4 linked regions of the Arabidopsis thaliana genome follow. The protein of the gene in region 3 interacts with the protein of the main gene of each other region in a pairwise test. Each region holds a gene or a part of one and is shown on either strand. Other genes may lie near its edges. The genes, in order: AT2G29180, GPX5, GAE5 and AT1G49230.

The links.
Region 1: the proteins of GAE5 (region 3) and AT2G29180 interact in a protein complementation assay, tested with the Arabidopsis thaliana proteins (one large-scale study listed by BioGRID).
Region 2: the proteins of GAE5 (region 3) and GPX5 interact in a protein complementation assay, tested with the Arabidopsis thaliana proteins (one large-scale study listed by BioGRID).
Region 4: the proteins of GAE5 (region 3) and AT1G49230 interact in a protein complementation assay, tested with the Arabidopsis thaliana proteins (one large-scale study listed by BioGRID).

What each region holds. Positions count from the first base shown.
Region 1 is NC_003071.7:12,538,335-12,545,822, reverse strand, and holds AT2G29180 (uncharacterized protein), read right to left. Parts: upstream 2,891-7,488; 5' UTR 2,743-2,890; coding exon 2,413-2,742; intron 2,301-2,412; coding exon 2,121-2,300; 3' UTR 1,988-2,120; downstream 1-1,987. Other genes in the region: PUM2 (pumilio 2), read left to right, coding at 1-85, 167-274, 391-603, 688-798, 877-1,071, 1,157-1,331, 1,517-1,563; AT2G29170 (NAD(P)-binding Rossmann-fold superfamily protein), read left to right, coding at 3,543-3,634, 3,728-3,959.
Region 2 is NC_003074.8:23,305,375-23,313,998, forward strand, and holds GPX5 (glutathione peroxidase 5), read left to right. Parts: upstream 1-4,362; 5' UTR 4,363-4,786; coding exon 4,787-4,846; intron 4,847-4,939; coding exon 4,940-5,016; intron 5,017-5,104; coding exon 5,105-5,166; intron 5,167-5,305; coding exon 5,306-5,424; intron 5,425-5,535; coding exon 5,536-5,703; intron 5,704-5,790; coding exon 5,791-5,826; 3' UTR 5,827-6,023; downstream 6,024-8,624. Other genes in the region: AT3G63070 (Tudor/PWWP/MBT domain-containing protein), read left to right, coding at 1-819, 1,267-1,675, 2,128-2,236, 2,319-2,431, 2,501-2,685, 2,767-3,184, 3,277-3,634, 3,789-3,968 and 1 more; RTFL14 (ROTUNDIFOLIA like 14), read left to right, coding at 7,679-7,825; AT3G63090 (Ubiquitin carboxyl-terminal hydrolase family protein), read left to right, coding at 8,243-8,624. UniProt on the Arabidopsis thaliana protein: May constitute a glutathione peroxidase-like protective system against oxidative stresses.
Region 3 is NC_003075.7:7,286,382-7,295,241, forward strand, and holds GAE5 (UDP-D-glucuronate 4-epimerase 5), read right to left. Parts: upstream 4,740-8,860; 5' UTR 4,468-4,739; coding exon 3,157-4,467; 3' UTR 2,811-3,156; downstream 1-2,810. Other genes in the region: AT4G12230 (alpha/beta-Hydrolases superfamily protein), read left to right, coding at 1-84, 179-319, 587-967; AT4G12240 (zinc finger (C2H2 type) family protein), read left to right, coding at 1,514-2,608. UniProt on the Arabidopsis thaliana protein: Involved in the synthesis of the negatively charged monosaccharide that forms the backbone of pectic cell wall components.
Region 4 is NC_003070.9:18,205,969-18,213,738, forward strand, and holds AT1G49230 (RING/U-box superfamily protein), read left to right. Parts: upstream 1-3,225; 5' UTR 3,226-3,351; coding exon 3,352-4,011; 3' UTR 4,012-4,209; downstream 4,210-7,770. Other genes in the region: AT1G49220 (RING/U-box superfamily protein), read left to right, coding at 1-733; AT1G49225 (uncharacterized protein), read right to left, coding at 344-487, 571-695, 1,822-1,892, 2,650-2,684, 3,177-3,179.

The sequences.
Region 1 (7,488 bases), on a different chromosome or scaffold from region 3:
TGAGAAAAACATGGTTTATGAGGAGATCATGCCACACGCTCTTGCCCTGATGACTGACGTTTTTGGAAACTATGTGATTCAGAAGGTAGATTTATTTAGTCTTCCTCTTTGGTTTTATTTTAGAGTTGAGATAAGAGATTCCTGAATTTTGCTTATCTTCCTACAGTTCTTTGAGCATGGACTCCCACCACAGAGAAGAGAATTGGCAGATAAACTCTTTGACAATGTTTTGCCTCTTAGCCTACAGATGTATGGTTGTCGTGTTATTCAGAAGGTATGTTTTACTCTTCTCTTTAAGTCTATCTTCGATTCTCAAAATGGTTTGCTATGTTTATAAGTCTTATCTTCGATCCAGGACAGTTAAGAGTTTTGTTATGTTTATCCTTTTAGGCAATTGAGGTGGTTGATCTAGACCAGAAAATTAAAATGGTGAAAGAACTCGATGGACATGTGATGCGATGCGTACGTGATCAGAATGGGAACCATGTGGTTCAAAAGTGTATTGAATGTGTGCCTGAAGAAAACATCGAATTTATTATTTCCACCTTCTTTGGCAATGTTGTGACCCTCTCCACTCACCCATATGGGTGCCGAGTTATTCAGGTTCTTGCTCTTAGTAATAAAGAAAAATTACACAGTTCTTGATCTTATGCTTCTAAGTAAAACACTTCTCGTCTTATGTTGCAGAGGGTATTGGAGCACTGCCATGACCCTGATACTCAGAGTAAGGTTATGGATGAAATCATGTCAACTATTAGTATGCTGGCCCAAGATCAGTATGGAAACTATGTTATTCAGGTTTGTTAAAAAAGAGTTATACTACAACTGGTTATTTTGTATAGGTTGCTTAAAAACTAATACACGTTTTGTTGACAGCATGTATTGGAACACGGAAAGCCTGATGAGCGTACTGTGATTATCAAGGAATTAGCGGGGAAGATTGTTCAGATGAGCCAACAGAAGTTTGCTTCAAACGTTGTTGAGAAATGTTTGACTTTTGGAGGGCCAGAGGAACGGGAATTTCTGGTAAATGAGATGCTGGGCACAACTGATGAAAACGAGCCTCTTCAGGTTTGTCAAACACATACTTTCAGATGATTGTTGGAGAAAATAAAGAAACTATTAGCTCATAAGCTTCTTCATCTTTTGTATTTAGGCGATGATGAAGGATCAGTTTGCCAACTATGTAGTGCAAAAAGTTTTAGAGACATGTGATGACCAACAGCGTGAGCTGATCCTTGGTCGTATTAAAGTGCATCTCAATGCTTTAAAGAAATACACTTATGGAAAGCATATCGTTGCTCGTGTTGAAAAACTCGTTGCTGCTGGAGGTATGTTTAATATGTTCTTTGGCTCCAAAGTTTCGACCTTTACCTGCTATAAACCTTTCAAATTGTCTTCACTTCGTTTTATTTGTATCATCTTACTTGATTGAAGAGACTTCTATAAGGATTGGAGAAAGAAAGACAATATATTGCGTGTCAATGTCTCTAAGTGGGTTTTTTCTCATATACAGAGAGGAGGATGGCTTTGCAGTCCCTAACCCAGCCTCAGATGGCGTAAGGCCGCAAGTGTTGTACAGCTTAACTAGGGTGGATGGCTCTGCCATAGCGTTTTGAGAATTAGGTAAAATCTAAACCGGAAATAATCTGCGGGAAAATTGTGAAGGAGAGCTTTGTTTTCTCTGCAAATCTGTAAAATTGTGTAGTTGCTTACGGTTTTTCTATACATAGAACCAAACATCCCACTTTAGGCTGATGAGTAAGAGAGGAAATATGCAGAGAATGGTGTAAAGGTGGGCTGAGGTATGGTGAGGATTTTAGGGTTTCCTTTACACGAAAGAGAATGGCTTTTTCATTGCCAAATGTGTAGAAGTGAGAATATGTTCATGCTTTTAGGACAATCCTAGTGTTTAGAGTTTTTTCTCCATCTATGTAATTTGTTTCATCAAACTCTTGTTTCCTATTTCACTAGTAACTCTTTCGTTTCTGTAATATTGCAATATTTTTGTTATATCGACCATCAAGTTGCTTGGTACACAAGAAACATATCATAGATGTGACAATCACTGAGCAACATTACAAACAAAATCAATCTTTGTCTCTCTACTACACACAAAATCACTCAAGATCAATGTCGATGTCATCATCTTCAATCTTCTGACCAAAACCTCTTGGTCCAGCTCTGGCTCTCATTGCCTTCTTCTTCCCACCTTTCTTAGACTTCTTTGCTGCCTCGTCTTTCTCAAACTTCTCTCTCTCCCTCTTCCCAAGAAACTCAGTCACTCCAATGTACACAACCTGTAATGAAATAAAACCGGTTTAGAGACTCACAAACCGGGCTTCAGGTTTGGTTCTGTATTTTGATTTGACATAGTTTATGGATAAGATTGGTTTTGTGGATAACACTTACACCAATGGTGAGAACCGTGAGAGCAAGAAATGCAACAAAGAGAAGCACTTGTATAATCAAAGCAACACCATCTTGTCCACCACTAGACACAACTGCTCCAGAAGAAGAAGATGAATCAGAAGAAACGATCTCTTGGGAAATTTCTTCCGGAGTTGCAGAGACTCTCCATAGTTGGGTTTTTTCTTGGTGAAGACGAAGAACCCTAAAAGACAAGATCTTTCTTCTTGAAACAGACCAAGAGAGTGGAGATATATGGTGGCCTTTAACTGGAGTTTGGAATCTTGGTCTGAAATTTGAAAGAGATAGAGATGGTGTTGTTGTCGCAGACATCTTTCCGTCCACTCCCACACTCTCTGATCTCTTCAGATTCTGGACATAACCCACTTCTGTTTGGTTACATCCAACGGTTCATGTTTTCTTGAGATTGAGAACAGATTATTGATGGGCCAAGAAAAGCCCAATATATTATTTTCGTGGGCCTTATATTTCTATTAGTTTTTGATTATGCATCATTAGTTACGCCATCATCACTAAACTACAGTCTTAAGATTGTTTACTTTGATCTCTAATTTTTCTACCCACCACAACAGTCACAACGTCAAGAGATACGTTAGCTTTCCTCAATTTCTTCAAACAATCTCATAGCCTCGTATCATTAATTCATCATAAATAGCCATTTTTCATTATCATTTCTCATCAAAATACATCATTACACAACAATGGCTAGAGCAGAACAGAGCTCAACCCATGTTACATGGGGTCTTTAGTTTTTCTCAAACAATGAAACATGAGTCGATCCCATGTAGTTGGGGCTTAACCCTTAATCGAGGCCCATTATTTTGAGTAACCTAAGAAAAACATCAAAAGGCCTTACTGTGTACGAACGTCATTACTCATTATTATCATTCATTCATTCATTATGAATTTTTCTCAACCATAAATTCAGATCTCCAAGAAAATATCTTTGGGTCTGTGGCTCATAATCAGAGGTGGCTAAGACATTCAGACAGGGGTTTCAAAGGACAAAGTTAAACAATTCACGTAAAAGTATCTTTGGCCACCCTCACGACTAGTCTTCCACCTCTTGGCCTTAAATATGTGACCTTCATTGAAGAAAATAGTATCCAGAAATGGCTAAAGCAGAAGAAAACTTGAGAGACAAATGTAGATGGAGCCTTGGAGGCATGACCGCTCTCGTTACCGGTGGCTCCAAAGGCCTCGGGTCAGTCCCCCTACTAATCCAATATTGAATACATTAATATGTCATATTACATATTTGCACGTGTCAATATGTATACAACTGTGTTATGAATAGGGAAGCTGTGGTGGAGGAACTAGCCATGTTAGGAGCAAGAGTCCACACATGTGCTAGAAACGAAACTCAGCTTCAAGAATGCGTACGTGAATGGCAAGCTAAAGGGTTTGAGGTCACCACTTCTGTATGCGACGTTTCTTCTCGTGACCAACGAGAGAAACTCATGGAAAACGTTGCCTCTATCTTCCAAGGAAAACTCAACATCCTTGTAAGTTTATGTATAAGAGCATAATGCATAAGGTTTTGAGCAAGATCAAGTGATTTTTTTGTTGTGTATTTGTTGGAAGTGATCAAGTCATCATCTTATTTTAGAAGAGATATATTATATAGTGAAGTAACTGGTTTATATATATTCGTATCACACATCGAAGAGATACAAATATAATTGTTAACTACAAAACAGTTACATGTGTGTATGTGTCTCTACATTAGGTTGTCTTCTAGAGACGTGTCCCTTAGTCAAAGTGTGTCATGTAAACCTATAAATACAGTTTGTATATGTAATAAAAGTGTGTGGTTTTCGTTTTATAAAAACAGAGTGAAATATAGAGTAAGACAAAACAGAGTAAAATCTGTGTTGTCCGATCCTTAACAACTTTGAGAGTTCAAAGTTCTACATGGTATCAGAGCTATGGAGACAACAATGCAGCAAGTTATTCCAATCTTCAATGGTGAATCGTATGGCTTTTGGAAAATCAAGATGATAACCATCTTGAAAACAAGGAAGTTGTGGGATGTTATCGAAAATGGAATTACGTTGAGTTCGTCGTCTGAAAACTCACCGGCGTTAACTAGAGAGCGTGATGATCAAGTGATGAAGGATATGATGGCTCTTCAGATTCTTCAAAGTGCAGTTTCTGATTCAATATTTCCGAGAATCGCTCCGGCATCAAGCGCAAGAGAATAGATGGAGTTCCAAGGAAGTTCACAAGTAAAGATGATTAATCTTCAGACCTTGAGAAGAGAATATGAGAATCTGAAGATGGAGGAGAGTGAAAACATAAATGATTTCACAACCAAGTTGATTAATATGAGTAATCAACTAAGAGTTCATGGTGAAGAGAAAACCGATTACCAATTGGTTCAAAAGGTTCTTATCTCCTTACCGCAACAGTTTGATAGCATCGTTGCGGTCCTTGAACAAACAAAGGATCTATCAACTTTCTCTATGACAGAGATGATAGGTACTTTGAATGCGCATGAGAAGCGCTTGAGTCTCCGAGAAGAACGTATCAATGAGGGTGCGTTTTATGGAGAAAAGCTTGGCTCAAGAGCAGAAAACAAGCAAACAAAAATCGCCATGGGAAGACCAACATGTGGTGCAGCGTGTGTAAGAGGAACAATCACAATGAGGTAGACTGTTTCAGAAAGAAGAGTGAAAGCATTTCACAAAGAGGTGGAAGCTATGAAAGAAGATGCTATGTGTGCGACAAGCCAGGACACATAGCCAGAGATTGGAAACTTAAAAAAGGTGAAAGAGCACATCTAAGTAGTGAAGAATCAGAAGATGAAGAAGAAGATGAGTGTCATATTCTCTTTAGTGCTGTTGAAGAAAAAGAGATCTCAACAATTGGAGAAGAAACGTGGTTGGTAGATAGCGGATGTACCAATCACATGTCTAAAGATGTTAGACACTTCATCACTTTGGACCGCAACAAGAAAATTACCATAAGGATTGGTAATGGTCGAAAGGTCGTGTCTGAAGGCAGAGGAGATATAAGAGTATCCACAAACAAAGGAGATCATGTCATCAAAGATGTACTTTATGTACCCGAACTAGCAAGAAATTTGCTTAGTGTCTCTCAAATGATATCCAACGGATATCGAGTCATCTTTGAAGACAACAAGTGTGTGATTCAAGACTTAAAAGGAAAGAAGATCTTGGACATCAAGATGATGGATAGAAGTTTTCCAATTCGTTGGAAAAAATCTAGAGAAGAAGTGTATGCGGCATTCAAAGAAAAAGAAGAACAAGGAGGAGGGAATGATCTAAACGCTCAAATAGATCAAAATTTGGAGGGAGCAATGAATGACGTGAAGTGGATAGAAGACATGAGAGAAGAGTTGATGATGATAGAAAAGAACAAGACGTGGCAAGTTGTGGAGAGACCAAGCAATTGGAGCAGATCAGTTGAGGACAAGAAAAATACAAGTGGCTATGTCTTTACTTCTGGATCAGGTGCATTTTGTTGGAATTCTAGCAAACAGAAGAACGTTGCTCAATCAACGACCGAGGCGGAACTCTTTATCACATCAAGGTTCGAAGTTCTACGAGAAGAGCTAGACGTAACGATGAAGCCATGATCAAGGAGGAGTGTTGGAAGTGATCAAGTCATCATCTTATTTTAGAAGAGATATATTATATAGTGAAGTAACTGGTTTATATATATTCGTATCACACATCGAAGAGATACAAATATAATTGTTAACTACAAAACAGTTACATGTGTGTATGTGTCTCTACATTAGGTTGTCTTCTAGAGACGTGTCCCTTAGTCAAAGTGTGTCATGTAAACCTATAAATACAGTTTGTATATGTAATAAAAGTGTGTGGTTTTCGTTTTATAAAAACAGAGTGAAATATAGAGTAAGACAAAACAGAGTAAAATCTGTGTTGTCCGATCCTTAACAACTTTGAGAGTTCAAAGTTCTACAGTATTGTGGTTGCTTTGGGTCTATTATAAATATATAGGTAAACAATGCGGGAACGGGTATAACAAAGCCGACCACAGAGTATACAGCACAAGATTACTCATTTCTGATGGCTACAAATCTCGACTCAGCTTTTCATCTCTCACAGCTCGCGCATCCTTTGTTGAAAGCATCTGGTTCAGGGAGCATCGTGCTCATGTCCTCTACTGCAGGGGTTGTACATATCAATGTTGGTTCCATCTATGGAGCAACTAAAGGTTTATATATACTTTAATATATACTCAAACTATTAATGATCCTTTTACGTTCTGAGGCTAACATATAAATGAGTATTGTACATATATCTACGCGTTGTAGGAGCTATGAATCAGCTAGCAAAAAACTTAGCATGCGAGTGGGCAAGGGATAACATAAGGGTTAATTCTGTCTGTCCATGGTTCATAGCAACTCCTTTAGCTAACATTGTAAGGCAATAAAATGAGAAAAAAAATACAAAGATCTCCTTAATACTAAGAAATTTTATAACAGATGAATTTAACTTATGCCAAAATCTCTTAATTAGTATCTCAATGATGAAGAGTTAAAGAAAGAAGTGGAGCGTAAGACACCAATGGGACGTGTTGGAAACGCAAATGAAGTATCATCGCTTGTCGCATTTCTCTGCTTTCCGGCTGCTTCGTATATAACAGGTCAGACAATCTGCGTCGACGGAGGTTTCACGGTCAACTGCTTTTCTTTCAAGCCAGTGCTTTAAAGCATTGATTGTTTGTTTTATATTGCATCTATGTTTCTTCGTTTACTGTGTATTTTTATTTTAAAATAAACTCGCAATCTCTAGCGTCTAAAAGTGAGTTGAACTTCATCAAGTTCGTAGGTAAGACCAAACAAAACTCTATAACATTATTACAGAAAATTCCATGATTATTTTCTTTGATAAAGAAAAATAAAATGTGTTGCATCAACTAATTTGAGTCAAAACAATAAATTAATATTGTTCTTTGTTATTATGATATTTTTATAACAAAACATGAACAAGCCTAAATTGTAACAAAGGAACAACCCTCTTTAGTACTTTTCTTAACCACACCCTACCGGAAATAATGTCTAGA
Region 2 (8,624 bases), on a different chromosome or scaffold from region 3:
GTTGTCTGCTAAGCTTTCAGGTGTTATGGTTGATGTAGTGCCTTCTCATATGGAGAAACCTTCAGACAGAATGTCTCCTTCTGTGGCCTGTGTTCAGACTGTAGGAGATAGACAAACGGCTGTGAATTTCCATGAGAACGAGTTTACCATGACACTAGATGATGAAGTAACTCGAGCACAATCTAACCAACTTAGCAGTTTGGTAGAAACAGAAGCTCGTGTTCCTGAAGTAGTTCAGGGATGTTCTGAGGAATCGCAAACTGGGAACTGTCTAATTAGTGAGACTGATCCTATTGATATACAATGCTCACATCAAAGTGAGAAACATGAAACCCCTTTGAATCCTGATATCGTTGATTCATCTGCAAATAAGTCCCCCGGTTTATGCTCGAGTTTGGATATGACAACAACAGTGGTACCTGCTCAATCTCCTCACCAACACAAAATCCAGGAGTATGATTCTAGTGACCATTCATTGGTCATTGTTGGAGATTCTCTTAATGGAAAATGTGAGAAAATTGATTACTGTATGACTCAGGTTGTTCAGTCCCAAGCCTTAGAACCGCCGCCTCCATTGTTCTGTTCAGTGGTCAATTATCAGGAGGTTGAAAACCTGCAGGAGACTGAAAATACTCTTTGGAAAGAAAACCAAGGAAGTCCCGGTAAAGAACTTGATAGTGACAAACAAGCTCACATGATACAGAATCCAGTACTCTCTGCTACTGAAAGTGAAATGATCGTAGATGATGCGGAACCTCAGTATGAAACTGTATATAGTCACTGTGCAGATGCTGTGGAGAACAGAGAGCTGGAAAAGAGGTGAGTCTACTGATTTTGTCTCTACTCCTATACTAACCTCTGATTCTATGTTGTTTCCTTTTTTGATTTTCCTTATTAGAAAAACTTTTCTAATTACAATCATGTGTTCAATTTCTAACCACATTGGAATATTTTATGCATGGAGTCCTCATAGGCAGATTGATGTAGAACATGACTAGGAATCTATCTATTCACTTTTTGACATAAAATTCCATTTCTTTGTTATTTCTTTCTTTCTTTGTAATTTGCATTTTCCTTTTACAGTTGAAGATTCCCAGTTCCTATTTAAATTTTCTCTTGCTTTGAAAGTCTATGTAGAGGATATGCATATTGAGTTTAAGCAAAACATCAATTAGATTAAGTTTCTTCAGACTTTATCTTGGTCAAGTTTTTCCAATTCACGGAACTGGTTGACTAACAGTATGGTATGTCTGTGTGCATTGGCAGTTGTGAGGTTGATGAGCAGAAGGAGCAGATGCAAGCCACCAATTCTATCTCAGTATCTGAGAACTTTTCACGTGAAAAATTGAATTCATCTCCTGCAAGGGGTACTCCAAATTGCAACTCAGTATGCCGAATTTCTACCGCAGAAAGTGAAAATGCTATGCAGAACAACAGTTATTACAGCACCAATGTTCAGTATGGTGAGAACAAATCATTAAATGTTGACACTGTCAAAGAAGAAAGCAAAGTTGAAACAGGCACAACTCAGGTGAAGAAAGTTGTTAGTTCTGATGTGCAATGCACTGTTGAGTCTTTTGAGACTGCACTTGACTCATTGGTGAGGACAAAGGAGACCATTGGCCGAGCAACTCGCTTGGCTATGGACTTGGCGAAATTTGGCGTTTCAGCAAAGGTATGAAACGTTCTCTCTGCTTGTGATCTTGTCTTATCTGTTTGTGGATGCCACATGTTAATTAGAGGTGGAATCCAATCGGAGACAAATTTCTTCTTATAGATTGTTAAAACATTGTACCTGGATCTGTCCCATGCTATATACCTATTTGCATTTATCAAATAGTTAATTGCGAGAACATGTCAAATTGTCAATACCAACTTTATGTATTACTACGAATTAGAGAAACACCTTATATATATTGTTTTGTCTACTGATTTTAGGATGCTGTAGGCATCCAGCCACTCTTTTCAAGCAAAGGACTAGGGCAATCCTTATTATCTTATCTTACCGTTTTAATGTGGAAAGGGACTTTTTGCACGGTGCTTTTGTGTAATTTATAAAACACTATTTTGCAGACTTTTGTCTAATGTTGTTAATGATGCTCTAAGAATCTCTATGTCTAAAATTAGGCGATGGAAATTCTGGCCCACACTTTGGAAAGTGAGTCAAATTTACAAAGGAGGGTGGATTTATTTTTCCTTGTGGATTCTATTGCTCAGTGCTCCAAAGGTTTGAATGGTGAGTATGCTGTTTTTGCTTAGTTGCATCATTGATGTTCTCAATGGCGAGTTAACTTTGTGAATACTACCTTTCTATTCAGGTGATGCTGGTGGTGTTTATCTTTCATCCATTCAGGCTATGCTACCTCGCCTATTAACTGCTGCTGTCCCAGCTGGAGCTACCACACAAGAAAACCGAAAACAGTGCTTGAAGGTATGCGATTTTAGTTAGATATTCTTTTTCTTATGAATACTAACTCTCACCCTTTCTGCTCTTATATAGGTTTTGAGGCTTTGGCTTGAAAGACGGATCCTTCCTGAATCTATAGTTCGTCACCATATAAGAGAACTTGATTCGCTTAGTAATGTTCCTGCTTGCCTCTATTCTCGGCGATCCGCTCGAACAGAAAGGGCGCTGGATGACCCTGTTAGAGATATGGAGGGTATACTGGTGGATGAATATGGAAGGTGAGAGTTGAGTCTAATCAGTTTTGGGATCTTGATTTCTTTATCTCTAGGGTCATAACTTTTTTCACCTTTTTGTTTCAGTAATTCAACTCTCCAGCTTCATGGATTCTGCATACCTCCAATACTTAGGGATGAAGACGAAGGAAGTGACTCGGATGGGGGTGATTTTGAGTCTGTCACCCCTGAACACGAGTCAAGAAGCCTTGAAGAACATGTCACACCGTCCATTACCGAAAGGCATACCCGTATACTGGAAGATGTTGATGGTGAGCTTGAAATGGAAGACGTGGCTCCACCTTGGGAAGGTGGAAGCAGTGCTAGTGCGATCACAGATCAAGCTGATAATAGAGAGTCTGCAAATTGTCTGCTTGTCCCTGGAACTTCACATCAGAATGTTACCTCGTCATCTCCACCAGCTCGCCCTTCGCAGAATGCTCAGTTGGCAATGTCTAATTCCTACTCAAATGGCTTTGACTACCGCAGAAATCCCAGCATGCAGGTGCGTCCTTTTTCTTCTTTTAGAATCTTTTGCAGTTAACAAAGTGAGGATTCAGACATAGTTAATAACTTAATTTGTGGTTAATATTCAAGGGCGACTATCATGCCGGTCCTCCAAGGATGAATCCCCCAATGCATTACGGAAGTCCTGAACCATCTTATAGTTCCCGAGTATCTTTGTCAAAAAGCATGCCACGTGGGGAGGGTTCTAACTTCCAGCATAGGCCATATCCATCTTCTCATCCCCCACCTCCTCCGCCATCACATCATTATTCATATATGGAGCCGGACCACCATATAAAGTCGCGGAGAGAAGGTCTATCATACCCTCACAGATCTCATTACACACTGGAATTTGACGAAAGGAATTATCAAGACAGCTATGAGAGAATGAGGCCTGAACCATGCGAGAATCGAGACAATTGGAGATATCATCCGCCCTCTTCTCATGGTGGACTCCGATACCTTTTTTTTTTTTTTCCTTATAATTCTCATGCATGCTAATAGGCATATATGAATGCATATATGAATGCATATCTGCGCACACAAGCACTTGCTCATGGATGCTAATAGGCGTGAATGCTTTTCTTTTTTTTATATTGCAGGTCCACGATATCATGACAGACACAAAGGACCTCATCAATCGAGCTCATACAGTGGGCATCACCGTGACTCAGGAAGGTTGCAGAACAATAGGTGGAGTGATTCTCCGCGTGCATATAACAATAGACACTCTTATCACTATAAGCAGCATTCGGAAGGTCCTGTTCCAGTAGGAATGAGAGGTAATATGGAAATTCATACTTGTTCCACGTCATGAATCAGAGCCTTTTCTTATACTGGAATTGTTTCCTAGGTTTAGAAACTCTGACATTTTCTTTTGACTGGGGATTTTATATCATTAGGTCTCTGAGATTCGAGATTGTTTTGCTTGTCCTGTGGGTATATCTTGAATATAAAAATGAACTTGGAGTATGTTTGTGGATATGCAGATCCAGGGACGTGGCATCAAAGGTGAGTGGGAGACAAGAGATGAAGAAGGGCAAAGGTGCAGTCTGCTCTAAATGAAAGACATTTGGGCTATAGTCATGGAAAAGAAGAAATAGGGAGAAACAAGTGTAGGTTGGAAAGACCTGGGCCACTTGAGAGAGATGTTAATATACAAAAGAAAAAAGGCACAGTTGGTGTGTGTACATATGACCAAAAACGTCGTGGAGAAGGCTAAAGAAACAGTCGTGAAAAGCCATTTGTTGTAGTAGAGAGAGAGAGATTTGAGTTAGGCAATACTGTCACTGATTTAGGCATTTGATATTTTGTAAACAAAATTTTTTGGTTTATTTTTGGGGAGTGGTGGTAATACACACTAATATGCATTTCTGTCACCTGGAGAGATGAGATGTCTCTAAAAAATGGTCAAAGAGGCGATTAATTAGTTAAATAGCAAATGGAAAAAACAATTAGGGATGGGTTTGTTTGTTACCAAGGAATTAACATAACAGCTGTAATGCTGCTGCGAGATAAAATGAACAATGAAGAAGCGGAGACCTGTTGACTTCAAATAATTTTAATTAGTTTCTTCTGTGCGATAGAGATCGATCGAGAGATGGGTGCTTCATCATCATCATCTGTGTCGGAGAAATCAATCCATCAATTCACCGTCAAGGTTTTCTAATTTATGAATCCCTTTTCTTCATTGTTTGTTTATCTGATGAATGAATGCGTTTCTGACTTGTTTGTCTGATCTATCGGAAATTAGGATAGCTCCGGCAAGGAGGTTGACCTAAGCGTGTATCAAGGGAAAGTGCTGCTCGTCGTCAACGTCGCTTCTAAATGGTCCGTCAGATCCTCCGATCATCTTCTCTCTAGTTAATTATTATTTCTTGATTCTAAATTTTTTGTTAACAAACAATTTGGGGAACAGCGGATTCACGGAGTCCAATTACACCCAGCTGACGGAACTTTACCGGAAATATAAAGATCAAGGTCAGACCATACAAGAATATTAGAATAGGAATGTATATATTCCTTTCTAATAAAGAAGACTCTTCTTCTTTTGCTTTCCCTTGTTACTTCATCGTTTATGTAAGATTTTTTGTTTTGGTTTCCTTTGGATCATCATCAGGTTTTGTGGTATTGGCGTTTCCTTGCAACCAGTTTCTGTCCCAAGAGCCTGGCACCAGCGAAGAGGCTCATCAATTTGCTTGTACTCGCTTTAAGGCTGAATACCCTGTTTTCCAAAAGGTACCTCAACAAACAAGACACTTTTCTTCTTCATATGCCTTTAATAGGTAGCTGATTTTGTAAGTTTATAACTAAGCATGAATGATCATGATCATCTATGTGTGTGTGTAGGTGCGTGTAAATGGACAAAACGCTGCACCAGTCTACAAATTCCTCAAATCTAAGAAACCCTCTTTTCTTGGAAGTCGTATCAAATGGAACTTCACCAAGTTCTTGGTCGGCAAAGATGGTCAAGTCATTGATCGTTATGGCACAACTGTTTCACCTCTATCCATCCAGGTCTCTAACTCTCTTGTTCTTCATATTCTATTATAAAATCATATCACTCTTTTATGGCTTACTTCATGTTTGTTTTCTGCATAACAGAAAGACATCGAGAAAGCCCTTGCACAAGAATTGTGAACACGCACAGAGATATTTGACTCCTTTGGAAGAAACTTCTCTCATACTCTCGGTCATGCAGTCAAGTTTCTACATTTCCCATTGCACCTTCCATATGGGCCTTGTATTCATCTTATGTGTAACTCTACTAGCCATTTCTTTTGTGAAATTTGATCAAAGGTGATTCCAATAAGTTGATTTGAACCCATAAAAAAAAGAAAAAAAAAAACTAATTCCAACAAATACAAACCACCAGCTAAGCTAAAGATTAGACGAAATCAGCAAGATCAAAATAAAACATCAATGATTTTCACTCAAGAGAACGCCTATAACAACGTCTTAGGATACCAAAAGACATTTTAGTCTATCTATCACTCTCACCATTTACTTTTTATGGTGCAAATTACTCAGTTTCGACGATAATTAATGTTTAAATCTGTCTCATGTGTTCAATGAGAACTTCTTTCCATCTGTAATGTATCGATTATAAGTGGCGTATCACTCTCACGTGCGCTGTTTGTGAAACGTGGCAGACAATTGAAGAAATAGAGAGTACAAAGGAGAAAAAAGGAGTACTTAAAAGGAGACCTTGACCACTCTTTCATGCATCCATCCTTCTTCTTTCTTGTCTTATCAGTTTCTTTTGCTTTTGTTAGAGATTAGTCAAACTACTGATATTATTAACATTAACCATTTTTATGGCTTTATTTTGTGAACAAACGACCCACCTATCCCATAATCACTAATTAGACATTACAACTAGTGTACTGTCTTTTCCATTTTATTTTTTCTCTGTGTATTATATTTACATTTTTTCTTCTTCTTCGATTAGCACTGGGTATCCCGTCAAGAGTTTTCAAAACCGAAGATAGGGACCAATACCAACTACTCCCGAAAGTGAGCAAGCCCCGAGCTTTCCTCCATGAGTCTACGTGACCCGAACAAAGCTACTTAGTTTGGAGATTTGTGTAGAGCCCCGTCCTTTAGGTTCTGGCTCAACTACCATTGCACTGCCTTTTATTTGCATCGTTTTTGCTATGGTGCTTAATACATTCAAGGGCTTTGGTGTAGCCATTTCGGTGCTTTAGTTGAGGCATAGTGAGAAATTTAGGGAAATTATACAATGAAAGCATACAATTTTCTTCTTTAACAACACAATGAAATTAGAAACGGAAACCCTCTTAATTAATAGTTTAACTGATACCAATTTGGATCAATTCCAAAGCTTATAGTCAATGGCATGAAATGAGTGATGTGGTGGGATGAACGTAACATTCATGCTAAACTCGTAAGCAAATCCATAATTAAGAAGTTGATCGTGATTTATTTAATTACATTTCCTAACTACCAAATTAGAGATATTTAATCATTCCATTCGCACCTAACACACAGCAAGACATAAAGACCCACAAACCACAGGCTCCATCATTAAGACTCATGTGTGCATGAACAGAAGTTTTCTGTTCAAACAATATCCTCACCGCAAAATCAAATTTGAAAACATGATAAGCTTTTTCGAAAAAAGGAAAAAAAAAATGATACCAAATTGTTTCGAACATTTAATCAATGATAGAAACTAAACATAAGGTTTTAGTTCAAAAGCGAAGCTAATGGTGAAAGCATCATGCCTTTTCTTCACACTTAGAAACATGTAGGTCCTCCATATTATTCAGTTCAATAATGTATCTTAATTTTATCCTATATTTGCATTTTAGATTATATCTACCAAATTATCTCTACACTATGTGCCAAATTATTTGAATCGAGTTCGAGTCAGCATGTATACTAGTATATAAGCAATCTATCTCTCTAGCAGCCAAACACACACACACGAATAGTTTACTTTGAAAATTTCTCGATATATAGGATCTCAATGGCAGGGACAGTAGTATTGAGATGCTGCACTAGTGTAACCAAGGTTAGGACATGGAAAAGATGTTCGAAGCAGATAAAGGAGCAAAGGGCTCGTCTTTACATCATCTGGAAATGTGCTGTCTTTCTTCTCTCCTCCCATGATTGATCCATATACATATGATATAATCAATCACCAAATTCCTTTCTTCTTGGTTATGTATTAGTTCAGTTCCAAACTAATTAACTAGCTATTTAATTAAACGTATATACCATAATGTAAATTTTTAATTGTAATCATCGAAAATATCGATACCTACTGTCATTTGGTCATCAATCGGAAGTTCTGTTTTGTAAATAGAGATACTAATAAGAACAAAAAAGACCACAATATGGTGTTGTCTTCTTGATTGGTGCTAAAAACATTTGCCTTGATAAACAAAAAGTTCAAAAACGATGCGCGTGGTTTAAACTTGCTCTTAACACGCGTGGTGATCTTGTAGTTCTGGTCTTTCAGGGTTTAAAGGCATATTTCTTTCTCACGCTCCGGCGAAAAACCCTAATTTCTGCTAAGATCAAATCAGGAATGGTGCTCAGAAACTTAACCATTTCTTACGAAATCATCAAATCTCTGAAACATGCCAAAGAACATAGTTTAGGGATTCAAATCCGATGGATCTCGAGCCTGAAAGTGGTATGGAAGAAAGACACGAGGCTAGACGAAGCCATCGAGCAGGACAAGCGTTACAAGCTCTGTGCTCGGGTTGTGAAAGAAGTCCTGAACGAGCCAGGTCAAGTCATTCCTCTCAGATACCTCGAAAAACGGCGCGAGAGGCTACGTCTCACTTTCAAAGCTAAGAGCTTTGTTGAAATGAACCCTTCCCTGTTCGAGATCTACTACGATCGGATCAAACCCAAGTCCGATCCCGTCCAATTCCTCCGCCCCACGCCTCGTCTCAGAGCTTTCC
Region 3 (8,860 bases):
TTGGCTTCCCGGTTAACTTTAACTGTGGATGCTGCTTCCGTGGGATCTCTACTACTCTCTGATTCTTCAGTTACTATAATGGATGTAGGTTTCGATTAGCTATATACGGGACTTTTCGTATTATCAATGCAAGTAATTTTATCGTTGTCTAACAATGCTGTTATGTCTTCCAAATCAGACAAATGATTACTGCGCAATACCACAACATCTTAAAGATGAACTAACAGAGAGGTATCCTGAAGCAAGGAGAGCTTACTTAAAGAGTGGAGGAGATTTCCCATTCCTATCACGGCCCGACGAAGTCAATTTGCATCTACAGGTACATATCTACTCAGTATCTAAAGCCAAATTTGAAGTATACATATACTCAGTTTCGACAGCCGAATTTATATACTCCTAAGGCTCTTTTCAAGAAATTATGAACTTTTAAAGAAACTTGAAACTTCTCTACCTATTTTTTAGATTTCATACCGTTGAAGGGATTTTTTTTTCCAATCAAACCGGTTTTATTGCTTGGTAAAGGAACATCATGTTACTGCATCAAAACATTATATTCTTATGATGAATCTCACTCTTATGTTTTCAGCTACACTTAAGGCGGGTAGGAGTAGAACCACGACCCGAAGTGGTTAAAAGCATTCCAAAAGGCGGCGCAGATGGCACAGACGGTAGCAGCCAGAGCAAGAAGAAGAGTGATGAGGAGAAGGACGACCGTAACAACAATATGCCTCAAGACTCTGGAAGCTCATCTTCAGATCAATCACCGACATTTCCAGAAAGTTCCGGAAGCTCCAACGATCCGCCTTTACCCACAGACACCATTCAGTTACTGAGTTCATCATTGAACAACCTCATATTAGTTCAACTCGCTGGTGAAGTTTATCAGTCTTGTGTGGTTTTCACATTGTGTTACTGTACATTGGTTTTGGTTCACGGTGGTGGTTTTATCTCCAGACAATTGGTTTAGTGTTCTTTATTTATTTATTACCTCTTTTGTTGTTTAAATCTTTTTACTTTTGGGTTTCTTTGATCTGTTTTGGTTTCTCTTGACTTTTTGTATAAGTTTGTAAGACAAAGCAAGAGTTCTCTGTATGTTTCAAGTTATTACACTTTTGGAAGAAAACTTTGGTTGGGTTTTGGGATTAAACCAATGTGCTTTCTATTATTTACACATTTTGCTCTTTTAAAATTTAGTCGCTCATTATTTATTTGTTTTTATCTTTTACTGTATTCAAAACAATAACAGTAATAACCTAATGCAGTAGAAATTTGATAATTTTCTATGAACAGTGGTGTGTTTTGTTCCCTAATAAAGTTAAGGAAGAAAATTGTAACATTTACAAAGTTCAGGGTTATAGGTGTTATATTTTGTATTTCAATTCGTCTTCTTCTTTGCTCCAGATTGAACTTACATGAGAATCGCCGAACTCTAATCGGATCCGGGTCGGGTATGTAATGTAAACCGGGTTTTTTGAAGCCCCCATCTTCTCCGTCGATTTTAAAGATCCCGGCGATGTTTTCAAGATTTGTCCTAAAAAGTTGGAGACCTAAAACCCAAACCACATCTCTCAATTCAATCAAAGGTTTTAGCTTTAGCTCTAGCTCGATAAACCCTAAACCCAAAATCCGAGTAGGGGTTTGGTGGGATCTAGACAACAAACCACCAGCCTCTTTCCCGCCTTACGACGCCGCCGTCAAGCTCCGAACCGCCGCGTCGTCTTTCGGAACCGTGAAGCTAATGATGGCGTATGCGAATCGTCACGCCTTTAGCTACGTTCCTTTAGAAGTTCGAGAACAGAGGAAAGATAGGAAATTGCTAAACAAATTAGAGAACAAAGGTTTAGTTAAACCACCGGAGCCTTACTTCTGCGGTGTTTGTGACCGGAGATTCTACACTAACGAGAAGCTAATTAATCATTTCAAGCAGATTCATGAGACAGAGAATCAGAAACGTATGAGACAGATTGAATCTTCGAAAGGACATCGAAGAGTGAGACTTGTGGCTAAGTATTCGATGAAGATTGAGAAGTATAAAAGAGCGGCGAGGAATGTTTTGACTCCGAAGGAAGGTTACGGTTTAGCTGATGAGCTGAAACGAGCTGGTTTTTGGGTGAAGATGGTTAGTGATAAGCCAGATGCTGCTGATAAGGCGTTGAAGGAACATTTGGTTGAAGTGATGGATAAGAGAGAAGTGGAGTGTGTTGTTTTAGTGTCTGATGATTCTGATTTTGCGGGGATTTTGTGGGAAGCTAAGGAGAGGTGTTTGAGGACGGTTGTGATTGGAGATTCGAACGAAGGTGCGCTGAAGCGAGTAGCGGATGTTGCGTATTCGTGGAAGGAAGTGACGATGGGGAAGGCGAAGAAGGAAGTTGAGAAAGTTGTGGGGAAGTGGAAGGATAGAGATGTGTTGAAGAAGTTGGAGTGGACTTATGATCCTGCTTTGGAGAAAGAGAGAGGTGGTTCTTGCGGTGTTTGGGATTACGAGTTTGATTATGATGATGAGATTGAGAATGGAACAGAGGTGGAACCTGTGGAGATTGGTGATGGTGTTGACTGGTGGAAGATCGATACTGAAGATGGTGTTGGATCTTCAAGAACTTGTCGATAACATCATCGCATATGTCGTGGTTGATTGCGCAGAGGAAGATAACATGGTATAGGCTAGAGAACAATCTTGTGAATCTATTGGCATATTACATAAACTTCAGGCTAGAGAACATTCATTGTTTCTTGTTATAAGATTATGCAGTGATTTGATTTGTTCTTCCAAACCATCATCGTTAGTCAAGTGATTAGAGCTATGTAAAAATTGGTCAGAATAAGAATAAATATATGTTTGAATTCACAAGAAACAAGTGACAATAGATTGAATTACTACAGAGTATATGCATCAAAATCCAAGCTACTTTATTCCTCCGACATGATGGAAAAGACAATTGAGTTTCGACAATTGAAACATCTAAGTGATGAAGCTGTACATTGCTCAAAATCTACTAACAAATAAATGAAGCAAAATCTAGCAACACAGAAACAATGCAGATACGTAAGTGATTTTTCCTGGCAATGCAAGTGCTCGGTTTCAAAAGCTTAACCTAGAGCGAACTCCAAGCTCAACAAGGGGAAACAGAGACCATGACTTAAGCAGAGAGACAGAGCTCACCAAGAACTCTTCTTCTTCGAGCCAGTGTAAAAACCCATATACCATTTCACAAACTTTTTCAAACCCGTCTCAAGATCAACCGCAGGTTTATAACCGAGCTCTGCTTGCGCTAACGTGATATTGGCATGAGTAAACTCAACATCCCCATTCCTCGGTAGAGGCATGATCTTTTTCTTAGCTTTCATCTTCAAAAGCTTCTCTAATATAGTCACAAGCTTAGTAACAGGAACAGGAGAAGTATTCCCCAAATTATAAATCCTAAACATAGCAGGACCTTTCTTCTTACCACCACTACCAGTACTCTTCTCAGCAGTATCTAACGCACCTAAACAACCTTTTACAATATCATCAATGTAAGTGAAGTCCCTAGCAACACTACCTTTATCAGGAGATTCAAACACAGTAATCGTCTTCCCTTTAAGAATATCTTTAGTAAAGAAGAAATACGCCATATCTGGTCTACCCCAAGGTCCATAGACAGTGAAAAACCGCAAACCCGTTAACGATAATCCGTAGATGTGATTGTAAGTATGCGCAATTCCTTCACCTGCTTTCTTCGTAGCTGCGTACAAACTCGCTGGTTGATCGGTACGGTCTTTCTCCGAAAAGGGTACTTTCGAATTCAGACCATAAACAGAGCTAGAGGAAGCCCAGACTATAGCAGGTTGCGGATTCGCTGATTTCGATACTTCTAATAGATTCACAAACCCAGCAATGTTACTGTTAACATATGAGCCAGGGTTTTGCATTGCGTAACGCACACCAGCTTGAGCAGCGAGATGCATAACATGTGTGAAGAGGACAACATCAAAGAGCTTTCTGAGTAAAACGGCGTCGTTTATATCGCCTTCGACTACGAAAACACCTGATCTTTCTAAAAGGCCTTGTCTTGCTCGTTTAAGCTTTGGATCGTAGTATCGATTGAAATTGTCGAGACCTAGAACACCATCGCCGCGTCTTCGTAACGCGATCGAGACGTGAGTACCGACGAATCCGGAAGCTCCGGTGACTAATACCGTTAAACCGCCGTGAGACCTAGGACGAGCGGATTTACGGACTTGTTTCTCCCAGTGAGAGCCGCCGTATTTCGCGGCGGAAATGGAGGAAGAATCGTTGAGATTCCGGCGAGATGGTGACGGAGGAGGAGATAAAACGAGGTAGAAGAGGAAGAGAGCGAGGAAGAGAGAAGCCCAAAGGGTGAGTTTTGAGAGACGGAGGTAACGGTGGTGGTGGAGAATCCCGTACGGTGGAACTTTATCGGTTTTGTACTTTCCGGGAGTAGAAGGAAGATCATCAAGGTGAGACATTTTCACCGGAGGAGGATTTAGAAATCGGAGAAAATGTCGATTAGGGTTAGGTTTGGATTTTTGGGTCTTAAGGAAGCAAAATTGAGCAAGTCAAAAATGAGAGGATTTTCCGGGAAAGAAGAAAGAGACGATCTTTTACTTACTTGTTGTAATTAAATTAAATGTGGATGGTTTAATTTGGTTAATGATGTAAATTTATTTATTTGGTTCAATCTTTAAGATATGGTAATAAGAAAGCTGCCAGAGAGTATATTTAGATTCATGAATTTTAGATTGCTTTTCAAAGTTAAAACGTGTTTGTAGATTGTTGACATTTGTATAGTTGTATTGCATTCTATATTGATCATGTTATGCATGTACTTTTGTACACGATCACATATACACTATTTTTACACGCAATAATTGTTTAATAATATTTACTACTTTTGCTTTTAACTTCTGTATTTCTTTGTTCCGATTGATAATAAAAAGAAAAATTATACAATAACAAAAGGTTATAAGAAATGTGAAATAACGGGGGTAATAATGATAAAAATAGATATAAAATCGATCGTATCATGTCATATATATAAATAATATCTTTCGGGATTAACTTTTTTTAGTTCTAATTTATATCGATTGACAAAAAAGTAAATAATACAAAATCGGTTATTTTTGAGGAATTTTATTACGAGTTATTTTTTATTTTATGAAATTGATCTGTTTTTTAGGAGGTAAACAATAAAATTGCATTAAAAAATGTAGTGATTTTTTTATTTTTTAATAAGAATTTTCTACTTATAATGTGAACAATACTATGTGGATACATGCTAGTATGTTAGCAATGTGAACAATATTCGTGATAAGTTAAATATTATTTTAATTTAGTTTATGATTGTTATATCTCACCTAACCATTATTTTCGACATCAAACGAAAATTAATGTTATATATTCCTAGTGTCATAGTAAAAGCTTTAAGAAATAATCCACATTTAATAAGATATACAAATCGTAATATACCATATAATCACGCAACACTGATATTAATCAGCTTAGTATAGTTAACCTATCAGAAAATTGATCTCTTTATAATAAAATTCTATTTCTTTATGGTAATAAGGAGCCAAATCAATTACTACCAAAATATCGGTTATGCCATATACAGTTAATTTGTAATTACTCTGGTTAGATTAGGATATTATCAAAATCAAGATTGACTTTGTCCTTCTAGCGATCATTAACTAATTTTACTAGAGCATAACCGGCTGGGTCAAAGAAATTTGCTTTTATTGCACAAAATTCTAAATTTATTTCAAAAAATTGTTGTTTGACGCTTGTACTAATTATCAAGCTAGTCCGTACACATCGTCTGATATACACTCATTTGGTTGATAGGAGTATTTTTCTCCTAGTCCTGGGCGTTTGGGTATTCGGTTCGGGTTCGGATCGATTTTTTCGGGTTCGGATTTTTCGGAACTATAATTTTAGACCCCGTTCGGGTATTTGAAAACTTCGGTTCGGGTTCGATCCGGTAAATTTTGGGTTTGGGTAGGTATTGGTACTTCCATTGAAAAATCCAAAAAGTAACCGAATATTATTCGATACTAGTTTATAACTACTATAATATACCCGAACATACTTGATACTAACCACATATACCATAAAACCTGTAAATTTGTAATAAAAAAAACTTAAAGTAAAATCAATAAAGCATGACATAATAAAAGTTTCATACGTTCAACCCAAAAAGCAAGATTCAAAACATCCAAATAAAACCATTCAAATAGAAGAAAGAAGTTCAAATCCAAAGCAAGACATAAAAACATCGTTTAGAATCGAATCCAAAGCATTCAAAGTAAAGAAAGAAGTTCAAATCCAAAGCAACATCCAAACATGATAGATTCCCCATGACTTGTTCCTGTTACATCAAAACCAAATAAGCTCAGTTGAAAAATAAAAAACCATAATAAACATTAAACCATAAACCAAGTAAAAGTCAAATACGAAATGATCGTTGATTCATAAGTCTAGTATATTAACATTGAGCTATAAACCAAGTTCAGAAGTAAAAGAAAACAAAATGGAGTGATGAAGTTACCTTGTAGTCGTTTCCTTGATTAGTCTTTTAGTCCAAATTCACTTCAGTTTGAAACTCTGAAAAAGATTCAATCAACACCCAAGTTGTGTTAGAACATAAGAGAGTTTTCAAACAACATCTAAAACTAAAACTAGTAAACTACATAGATAAAGTTACCTTTCTCAAGCTTATCAAGTAATTCTATATCAGCAAGAAGTTGTGTATTTGTTAGAAAAGTGTTTTCACTCAGCTTGATTTCACTTTTCAACCACTGCTCAAGGCAAACCAAAGTCTCTACCATATAATGAGTAAGGCAGCTTCTACTTGGCTCCAAAAGACGACCACTGGTGCTAAAAGCACTTTCAGATGCGACATATGACACTTGCATTGCAAGTACATCTCTTGCAATTTCTGATAAAACTGGATACTTCTGACTATTGAGTCTCCACCAAGACAAGACATCCCACTCCATTCCAGGAAGAGTCTTAGGATTTTCTACCTCTGCCTTCAGATATATATCTAACTCATCTTTAGGATCAGTAACCCTAATTTCATTAACCATCTCTTTATAAGACCTGTCCATCCTTTCAAACTCAACATTACTATCTTCAGCTAACTCACATGCAAAAATATCTCTGGCAGCAGTAGATGAAGGCGGATTAGACTGAGATGATTGTGTGTTTGGTCCCTTGAAAATAACAGTGTACTCCTTCAGCATAGCCTTCATGACATCATAAACAGAATTATACATCTCCTTGGCTTCTGAAGTGTCTACACCATAAAGTTTCTCAAAGCACATTTTAGCAAATTCCATTTTCTGTCTAGAATCAAACACACTAGCAATTATTTTTGGATATTTCTCTTAGTTAGTTTGAAGGTTCACTTTATTTGTAATTTAATGCTTTTGATAATTGGAAGGGTCGTGGGCTCGTACATTTCCTCGAGCTATTTGTATTTTACTAGCAATGTATGTCAAATATTTGGTGTACTTTAACAATTGTTAGAATTCAGTTAACTATAAATCTACATATGTCATATTATTATGAAAATTAGACAAAACTAGGGGGTGTTATAGGTTTTCTGATTTAAATAGAGTTTTAATGAATTAATAAAATATTACATAGAATCTGTTGTTGTTCAATCAAGATTCTTATAAAGTTTGGTGTTATTAATTTTAAGATTTGTAAATAATGATCTAAAATCTTTGTAAATTTGGAGTAATTGGATTCATATTTTTATAAAGTCATAAAAAGTTTTGTGTTATTCAATCAAACAAAAGAATCTATGTTTGTTAATGAATTAAGTTATTATGTTATTGTTTATAACTTTCTACACTTTTCTTCGCAACATGAAGTCATAAAAAGTATCATCAAAATAGAAAGATTGTTTGAGAAACTTTACAAGATTGTGAAAAACTAATTAACAAGATTATAGAAAAGTCTCTAACAATAATTAAAAATATTTTATTTATTTATTTTATATGATATTACTAAAGTCATCAAAATTTCTTGTAAATTAAGAACCTATAACATTGCTTTAGTGTTACTTTGATTAAGAGAAATTAATAAGTTCAAATTTCTGTCTAAGAAAAAAGAACAACAAGAAATGAAGTTCAATTAATAGTGAATCCAATGATAATAATTAAATAAAATCTTATCTTCTTATAGTGACAAGGTCTTACAGTTACCCACTCGACACAAATTATTATCATTATATATGTATGCTTAGCACATGACCAATTTTATTAACACAAATTTTACCTAGATCTCTAAGAAGTAAAGAACACTTTAAAACCTATATTTTTATATATCTTTGTGTTTTAACTCATGGTAGACACCGAGCTGTATTCAGATAGGCCGTTTAATGCAGACACCTCTTTCAACATCTTGATAACGTTAACACCATCAGATGTGGGTTTGAGTAATATGATAACGTTTTCAAAAGAGATAGTAGAAACCAAAATGTTACCTTTACTGCCTAAGAATCGTTTCATAGGTTATTTGGACTTTTTTTATTTTGAAACTAAAATTGTAACAACTCTTACTGTACAAGAAGATGCAAATGGAGATTTTCAATTTCATGGATGGAGTATGATTCTCCAACGAAACAATTACAAGACAGACGATATTATAGGATTTTGGTGGGATGCCAATAACTCTAGATTTAATTTTTCAGGTACTCATGATCGCTTAGTTGATGGAGTGGATCTTTGCAACTTCGTTTCTCAAATATGTTAGGTTCCTTATTTTATTTATTTAATTTTGCAAATTTGTCTTCTCGATATTGGTTCATAAGTTATTTTTAGTTCTATCTTAATTATGTTTTTTAGGATCATC
Region 4 (7,770 bases), on a different chromosome or scaffold from region 3:
TTCAGCTCAAGCCTTCCAAGAACAATTCCTTGGCGGTTTTGTCTCTAGAAAGCTGCTTCTGCACAACCCATTTGACCACAACACTCAACGAGCCTTTGCGGTTGCACCATCTCCTCTCATAACCCATGAGAACAACCTCAGTGGGAATGTTATGATGCTTCTCTCAATCCTCATTTGTGGCATTATCTGCTGCCTCGGGTTACATTACATCATTCGTTGTGCACTCAGACGTTCTACACGTTTCATGATCTCCGAGCCTGTACCAAGTCTTTCGTCAACACGGGGTTCATCAAACAAAGGAATCAAGAAGAAAGCTCTTAGAATGTTCCCAGTTGTGAGTTACTCACCTGAGATGAACCTGCCAGGGCTTGACGAAGAGTGTGTCATTTGTTTGTCTGATTTTGTTTCCGGTGAACAGCTCAGGCTGCTCCCCAAGTGTAACCACGGGTTCCATGTTCGTTGCATAGACAAGTGGCTTCAACAACATCTGACTTGTCCAAAATGCAGAAACTGTCTGGTTGAGACGTGCCAAAAGATATTAGGTGACTTCAGTCAAGCTGATTCAGTTACGGCAGAACCAACAGAGATCGTAATTGTCACGATTGTTCCTCTAGAACCAACAGAGATCGTAATTGTCACGATTGCTCCTCTAGAACCAACAGAGATCGTTATTGTCATGATTGCTCCGCTAGAACCTGAAGGAAGAGTAAACACTATTAGAGAAATCAGCTAGATGCAAAGAAAGACAGAAACCATCAGCAATTCAGAATTTGTACTTCTAATTTTTTTATGACTTTCTTTTTACCTGTAGCACAAAGTGTATACAGAGTGATTATGTTTCATTTTCAGTAGCATCTCATGAGTCCATCAAACTTCCTTTGTAAAACTATTTTTACGGTGGAATGTGAATTTTGCAATCTTATCCAAAAACATCAAGATTCATCTGATAACCAAAGATTGATAAGTGCTGGTCGTATATTCTTATGTGTCATATCAGTACACTGAACCAAAACGTCACTAGACAGAATAAATGGTTTCCCAATAACTAATGCCAAGAGTTAGTTGTGTGAAGAAGCAGTGTGTAGTCTACCATATGGAATTATGGTCCAGACCTGGTCCCATGTACTCTTGATAATGACAAAAGCACAAAGTTTGTGAAACAAAATTACATCTATCTACATGAATCAACCCACTTAATAATTAATCTATATGCCTCAAAACCGATCCACACGCATAAGTCATCAAAATAGCAATTACCATGAACAAGACAAAAAAGATAAAAAGATATTAGTAAGAACTATGAACAAATAGATATTTACTTGACAGAAAGAAATTATTAAGTAGGGAGAATGATCAAATAAATATTTACTTTACAGATATTTAGTAGGAAGAATGACCAAAAAGATATTTTATAGATATTTAGCAGGAACTAAGAACAAATATATATTTAATCAAAAGTTCACCAAAAGATGAACACTGAGAAATGGCGCCAAAGAGTAAATGATTAAAGAATAGGTTCCACCAAAGAAAGTCAATAATGGTACATAAATGATTAAAAGACAGGACTAAAGCTCTGTGTTTCAGTATTTCAACTTTCTAGCCAAAGAGAACTATAATTAAAATGTTTCTGAAACTTTTCTTATGGCTCTTAACACCCACTGGATCCAAAACCATTTCCAAATCATAAATGCATCCAGCAAAAATGTTCTCAGAAATATTTCAAATTCTCACCAAGTTGCGTTATTTCACCTTAAGTCGTGTCGTGTGATTTCACCTCGATATGTTGGTAACATTTCACTTCCATCATTCAAAAAAAAAAACGGTGAATGACCAATTTTAGTTTGGATGATCTTTCTGTCTGTTCAGATTTCTCATCTTCATCCATGTTACCCCTGCAGTTTTAAAGTGAATGAGTATCAAATTAAGATATTCCCAACAAACGAATCATTATAGCATATAACACAACAAAAGTAAAGTTTATTTGCTTTAAAGAAGGTACCAAGAAAACAGACCACTATATATATTTGTACCAGTTATATGTAACCTAATGGCACAGACAAAAGAAAAAAGGAATCCATTTCCGAGTGAGACTGGTGAGAAAAGATAGAAAAGATGCATCTCCTACTGTGTAACATCAACTTTTTATCCCAAAGATACACAATCTTCCCTAATCTAATGTTTCACTAAACCAGCTATTAGGAAAGTAGCAAGAAACAATGTTATACAAAAGCACATATCAAAGAATCTTGCTTTGATTTTGGAGCTACAAGAAAAACATTAGATACTAGATTCATGTAGATTTCCCTCGCAATTTGCAACCAATGGAAGAAGATATCTCATAAAGCAAACAAAAAGAATCATTTTTTATTCGTTCATCCGTGGGACCAATTCCTTTACCTCTGATTTAAAACAAAGGCATGTAAAGATAAAGAGAGAGAGAGAAACTGTTTACTGAAAAAAAAGCAGGAGGTGGATACTAATGCTATGAGAGTGATAAAAGTAGCCTTTAACAAGATTGATTGGGAGAGGCTTTGTCCTTTTGGCTACTCTATGGACAACTTGAGTTACTACGAATGGGGTGGATTCCTGTTCCCCAAACATAAGTAGAGTTCACTAAATGGAAATATTTCATCCGTACACTCTCAAAACCGCACAAAATCAACAAAACTTTTAAGATTCCACCACTGTTAAAAAATAGCAAAAAGGGAAAGAAAAGAAAAGTTAAATCAAACCTTGCTTTATATATGAGAAACTCCTTTACAGGTTAGACACATATGTGATATATCACTGGGTCAGAACTATCTACCGAAACTCGGTTTTCATCAAGACCATAAGTAGAAAACATATATTATAAGCCCTAACAGGCTAATATCAAGGAACAGTGAGATATCAGTAAAATGAGCCAGGAGATATTAATATTTGAATGCTGCTATATCAAAGATAGGGAAAGTTCATGGCTGCTCCAGTTAAAAAGCTCATGGGTCCCTAGAAGCAATTCTGGGAGATATGATTTGCTAAGGCCACAGCCACATGGCACTACTATTGCAGCAACTGGTATGATGGACCCATTTTATATAACAAAGCATATTACGCTGCAAATGATTTTATAAAATTAGACACTAAAGGTAAAGGTCCATAATGTGAGCTTGATCTTTATAGCTTCTTATTCATCCAACCATAAGTTTTTCTAAATGAAATATATAAAAAAAAATTCCTCATTAAATATCTGAAAAAAAATTGAAACTTTACCTTTCCTCTATATAAACAATTAGCCTCCAAACCTTTACTCTATATAAACAACCTCCAACGGAAACACAGAAAGCCACCAATCTATCTTAAAACTAAGTTATCATGTGCACTACCATTTCCATTTCCATTTCCACCATAAAACCAACTGAGATCTTTCAAGAAATTCTTGGAAGTTCTTACTCAAGAAAATTACTATTTCATACCCATGATCAATCACCAACTCCAGCACCATCCCCATATGTAGGCGATAACAACTTTGATGCAAATGTTGTTATGGTCCTATCAGTCCTCTTATGTGCACTTGTTTGCTCACTTGGACTCAATTCTATAATAAGATGTGCCTTGAGGTGCTCCAATTTAGTACCATCTGAAGCTGGTGGTGACAACTATCCTGTTCGCTTGACCAACACAGGAGTCAAACGAAAAGCCTTGAAGAGTTTCCAGACAGTAAGTTACTCTACTGAACTAAATCTGCCTGGCTTAGATACCGAGTGTGCTATCTGTCTCTCGGAATTTGTAGCCGAGGAACGTGTGAAGCTGTTGCCGACATGCCACCATGGATTCCATGTCCGTTGTATAGACAAGTGGCTTAGTTCACACTCGTCCTGTCCCACCTGCAGGCACTGCCTCATCCAGACATGCGAGAAGATTGCCGACTGCAGCCAAACAAGCTCGTTAAACTCTACTCAACCACCACAAGACAGCATCATTCTCCAAATAGCACCACTAGAACCGGAAAGATGGATACGCTGGTTTAGGTGAACTAGAACTAGTCACCTAGATATTTGTAGCAGCTATGATTAAACTACTATGTTTTAGAATTATTTGAGATTACAAGCGGTCTACACTTAAAAACAAGTTTAGCATTTCAACTGTAAAGTTGTAAATATTACGAGAATGTTACTTTCTTCATATCTTGAACTACTAAATGTTTATATTTCACAGTTACAAGCCAATAAAGGAAAATTTCATTAGATCTGCAAATACTCACACTGGAAAACAAAACATAAACAATTCAAAAATCAAATGTACAGGATGATGAGAAGGAAAATCACTGAAAGGCTTAAAGCAATAGTTTAGTGGAGGTGGCCAATACACTTAGTCAACTAAAGAGAGATGTCATAATCTTTACCATTATGAAGTTTCAAGGTTATTAAAGTCAGGCTCTGCCACTAGCTTATTTTACTGATTATCATAAGGGTTACTACACTTTTATATAAATCATACAATAACATAATGTACCCTTCCAGAGGTAGAAGAGTCTTCTTGCTTTGTTATTGAACAAATTAAGTTGTAGGCTGTGACAATGCGAAGCCCCGGAGAAAAATGTCAAGGCCCACAAATGAGAGAAACATGCAATAATATAATCCATCGAAAGGAGAACAAGAGAGAGAGGTCACCACCATAAGAAACAGCACAAAGCGAATGGGGTCCGAGGACGAATCCCACCATATGGTCAAATCAAATAATACTAAAAGGGGAGGTTCAATGTTATACTGACCACATGAAGAAAATGAGTGACCACAATAATTCAACAACCGGCATTTACCAAGATCAATTTCATAGATAATGGATTATGAAGAGCTGCAATATCAATTACTTAGAAGTAGAACTTTAAAAAAAGCAGTACGTGTAACAGTACTTTACTGACTAGCTAAAGAGAGATCCTTAGTAGTAATCTAGAAACTCCCATCAATATGGTCACTAATCTCCAAATAAAGAAATTGATAAACAAGTTATGAGGTGGACGAACGAAATTGTAAACCCTAGATACCAAAATGGGGAAACTTTGCATCAACCAAATGAGATTATCTTCTGAACTAATTACGTATCGGGATTAAACAATGAACAAGAAGAAGTAAACAAGAGTACATGAAATTGAAAAAATCAAGTTTCGCTCCAATCAAATTGACAATAAGGAGACAAAGATACGAAGTTCAAATGAAGCTGTACGAAAATACCCAGAAAACTATGTGAAAAATGGGGAATTTTCTTACCGTATTCGTTGATGAAGATCTGCTGAAGACGACGAAGTAGCAATGTTCAGAGATTGTTCGCTTTGTTGGCGCCAATGATTTTCAGAAATTCTCTCTTGAAACCAATATCGGATCTTCCATAGTTTCCACTCGGGTCGGCTTTTAACGGGCCCATTTATATAAAGCCCATTTAGCATTTTTCCTAAATCGGGTGTTTTTCTTATATCAAAATAGAAAGGGATTTTTTAAAATATCTCTTTGTTGGTTATAGTTTATAAACATTTGGTTTAACAAGTTATAATGAATGTGGTGAGCCACTCATTACAAGAAATTATTTACAACCACATGAGAAAAGAAAAAAACACATAGGCTATTAATGGAGGCAGCGGACAAAACGGTCTAATTTATCTGCGGTTTAGTCCATTTCATTTTTGGGATGGATAATAAACCGTTGCGGAGCAAGTTTATTTGTATGTAAAAATAGTTCGCAGATGGTCCGCTGCGGGTTTTTTCTTTTTTTTTTTGTTTGGACCACTGCGGACTATAATTGATGAATGAAAAATAAAAAGCGGTTTGATCCATTGACGGTTGTGTCCGCCCCAACCGCCGTAACCATTCACAACCCATGTTGTAAAACCAAGAATAACAAAAAAGATTGTTAATTGACTTTTTCCGATATTATATCAAAACGTGGCCGGTCATATAACTTATATATATGTATTATTATATATCAATGGAGTGTCAGTTTAATATAGTCATGATCATGAGTAATGTAGTTTCATAATGATGGGGCACAACGTTCTTAAGGGTAGTACTACCAACTCAATTTTCTCTCGGCATGTGCTGTACACATGGTTCATAAAGTTGACTTTTGGATTTCCATCTCACAACAGCTATTTCTTTTCCGGTTTTCTACCGGTTTGCTCCGGTTAGTGGACCAACGTTAAAAGTTTAGTTATGACAGTTTCTTGGGTTCTACACATCTTTTGATTTCTATTTACCCTCGTAACAAAAATAGAAGATTTTGTAGTTTTCTTTTAATGGTACCTACCTCATGTGGATTGTAACTACCTTTTGTTGGATTCATTATTGTAGGTACATATATTTGTGGTTTATATCCATCCACTCTCTTATATAGATCAAAAATATATAACTAAAAAATAAATTTTATCCCCAAAATGTAATTTAACCGAATATTTGATTATTTTCTAATCCGATTTTTAAATTATATTTGAATAATTTTGGTTCTTCGGTTAGATTCGGGTAGTTTAATTTTGGCTAGGTTATCGATGGAAACTAGTTTAAATTTGGTAAAAAACGGTATAATTGTGGTATAATCTGGTTATAAACAACATATAATTTAGTTAACTGATAAGTGATAACTGAACTAAAGCAAAATACTTGGTTAATTGAAGTAAAATTCAAATTTAACCAATCTGTTAAGGACATGTAACTTTTCAAAGCGAACAGCTAAAATCTTGGTTCGGCCCAATTTGGTTATTTCAGATCGGTTATTCATCCCATGGCTAATCTGTACTAGATGGTCAGAATGGTAAAGACTCCAAGAAAGAGGCTGGTAAAGATAAAAACCAAACGTTACATAAGTGATGACAAGCAACAAAGTTACAAAGAGGTGGTCTTAGGGTTCTTTGGACTCTCCACATAAGTGGTAATGTTGCATGACACCTCAATTAATCTTTTAACTAAAAACATAAATAATTGGTAGCTACAATACAAAAGTTCCCATCTCTTAAAATTCAATTCAATTTTGTTACACAATGAAGAGCTGAGGTGAGCTGTTGTACATATATAATTGCAAACTTTTATAATATTGTAGTGGACTAGTGGGTACTTTACCCAAAAAAAGAAAAAGGAAAAATGTAGTGGATGTGTCTCAAAGCCAAGACAAATTACGAGATATAGCTAACAAGTACTGCCTCGTATATCTGATGTGTACCTCTTTGTCCTGTATTAACTAATTAACTTTATATTCGAAATGAATGCATAATTTTAAAATACGACGATTATTTATGTTGTATCTGTTGGTAATTTTTTTTTTTTGTTATACCTAATAATTTAACCCGTGTTTGTAATTAATACGAATAACTACGACATTAGGCTTTTGGGTTGTCAGGAAACTTGTTGGTTTATGGTCGATTTGCAGCATACCAAACAAGTTTTAGTTAAGCAGTATTATTGGGAAGTTACTTCATTAAGAGACTAAAACCATTCTTGTCTCTCTATGGTTCATCTTCTTTTGTCCATAAAAGGACGATTTGAGAAAGATATAAAAGATATCTTTGTAAACATTACAAAGAGAAAAAAAATTAAAGAAAGAAAACGTTTTAAAGAGAGAGAATTTAGAGAGATCAATAGGAAGTCAAAGTGACCTTGAGCGGTGGTTTGGGATTAATTTTCGTTCGTGCTCTTAACTGATGTTTACATCACTTCCCATATAATTTCATATCAAAGTTATCACTAAACCGGCCAAAATATATGTTCCGTTTGAACGCTTCCGCATAAAAAAAAATAACATATGATAATT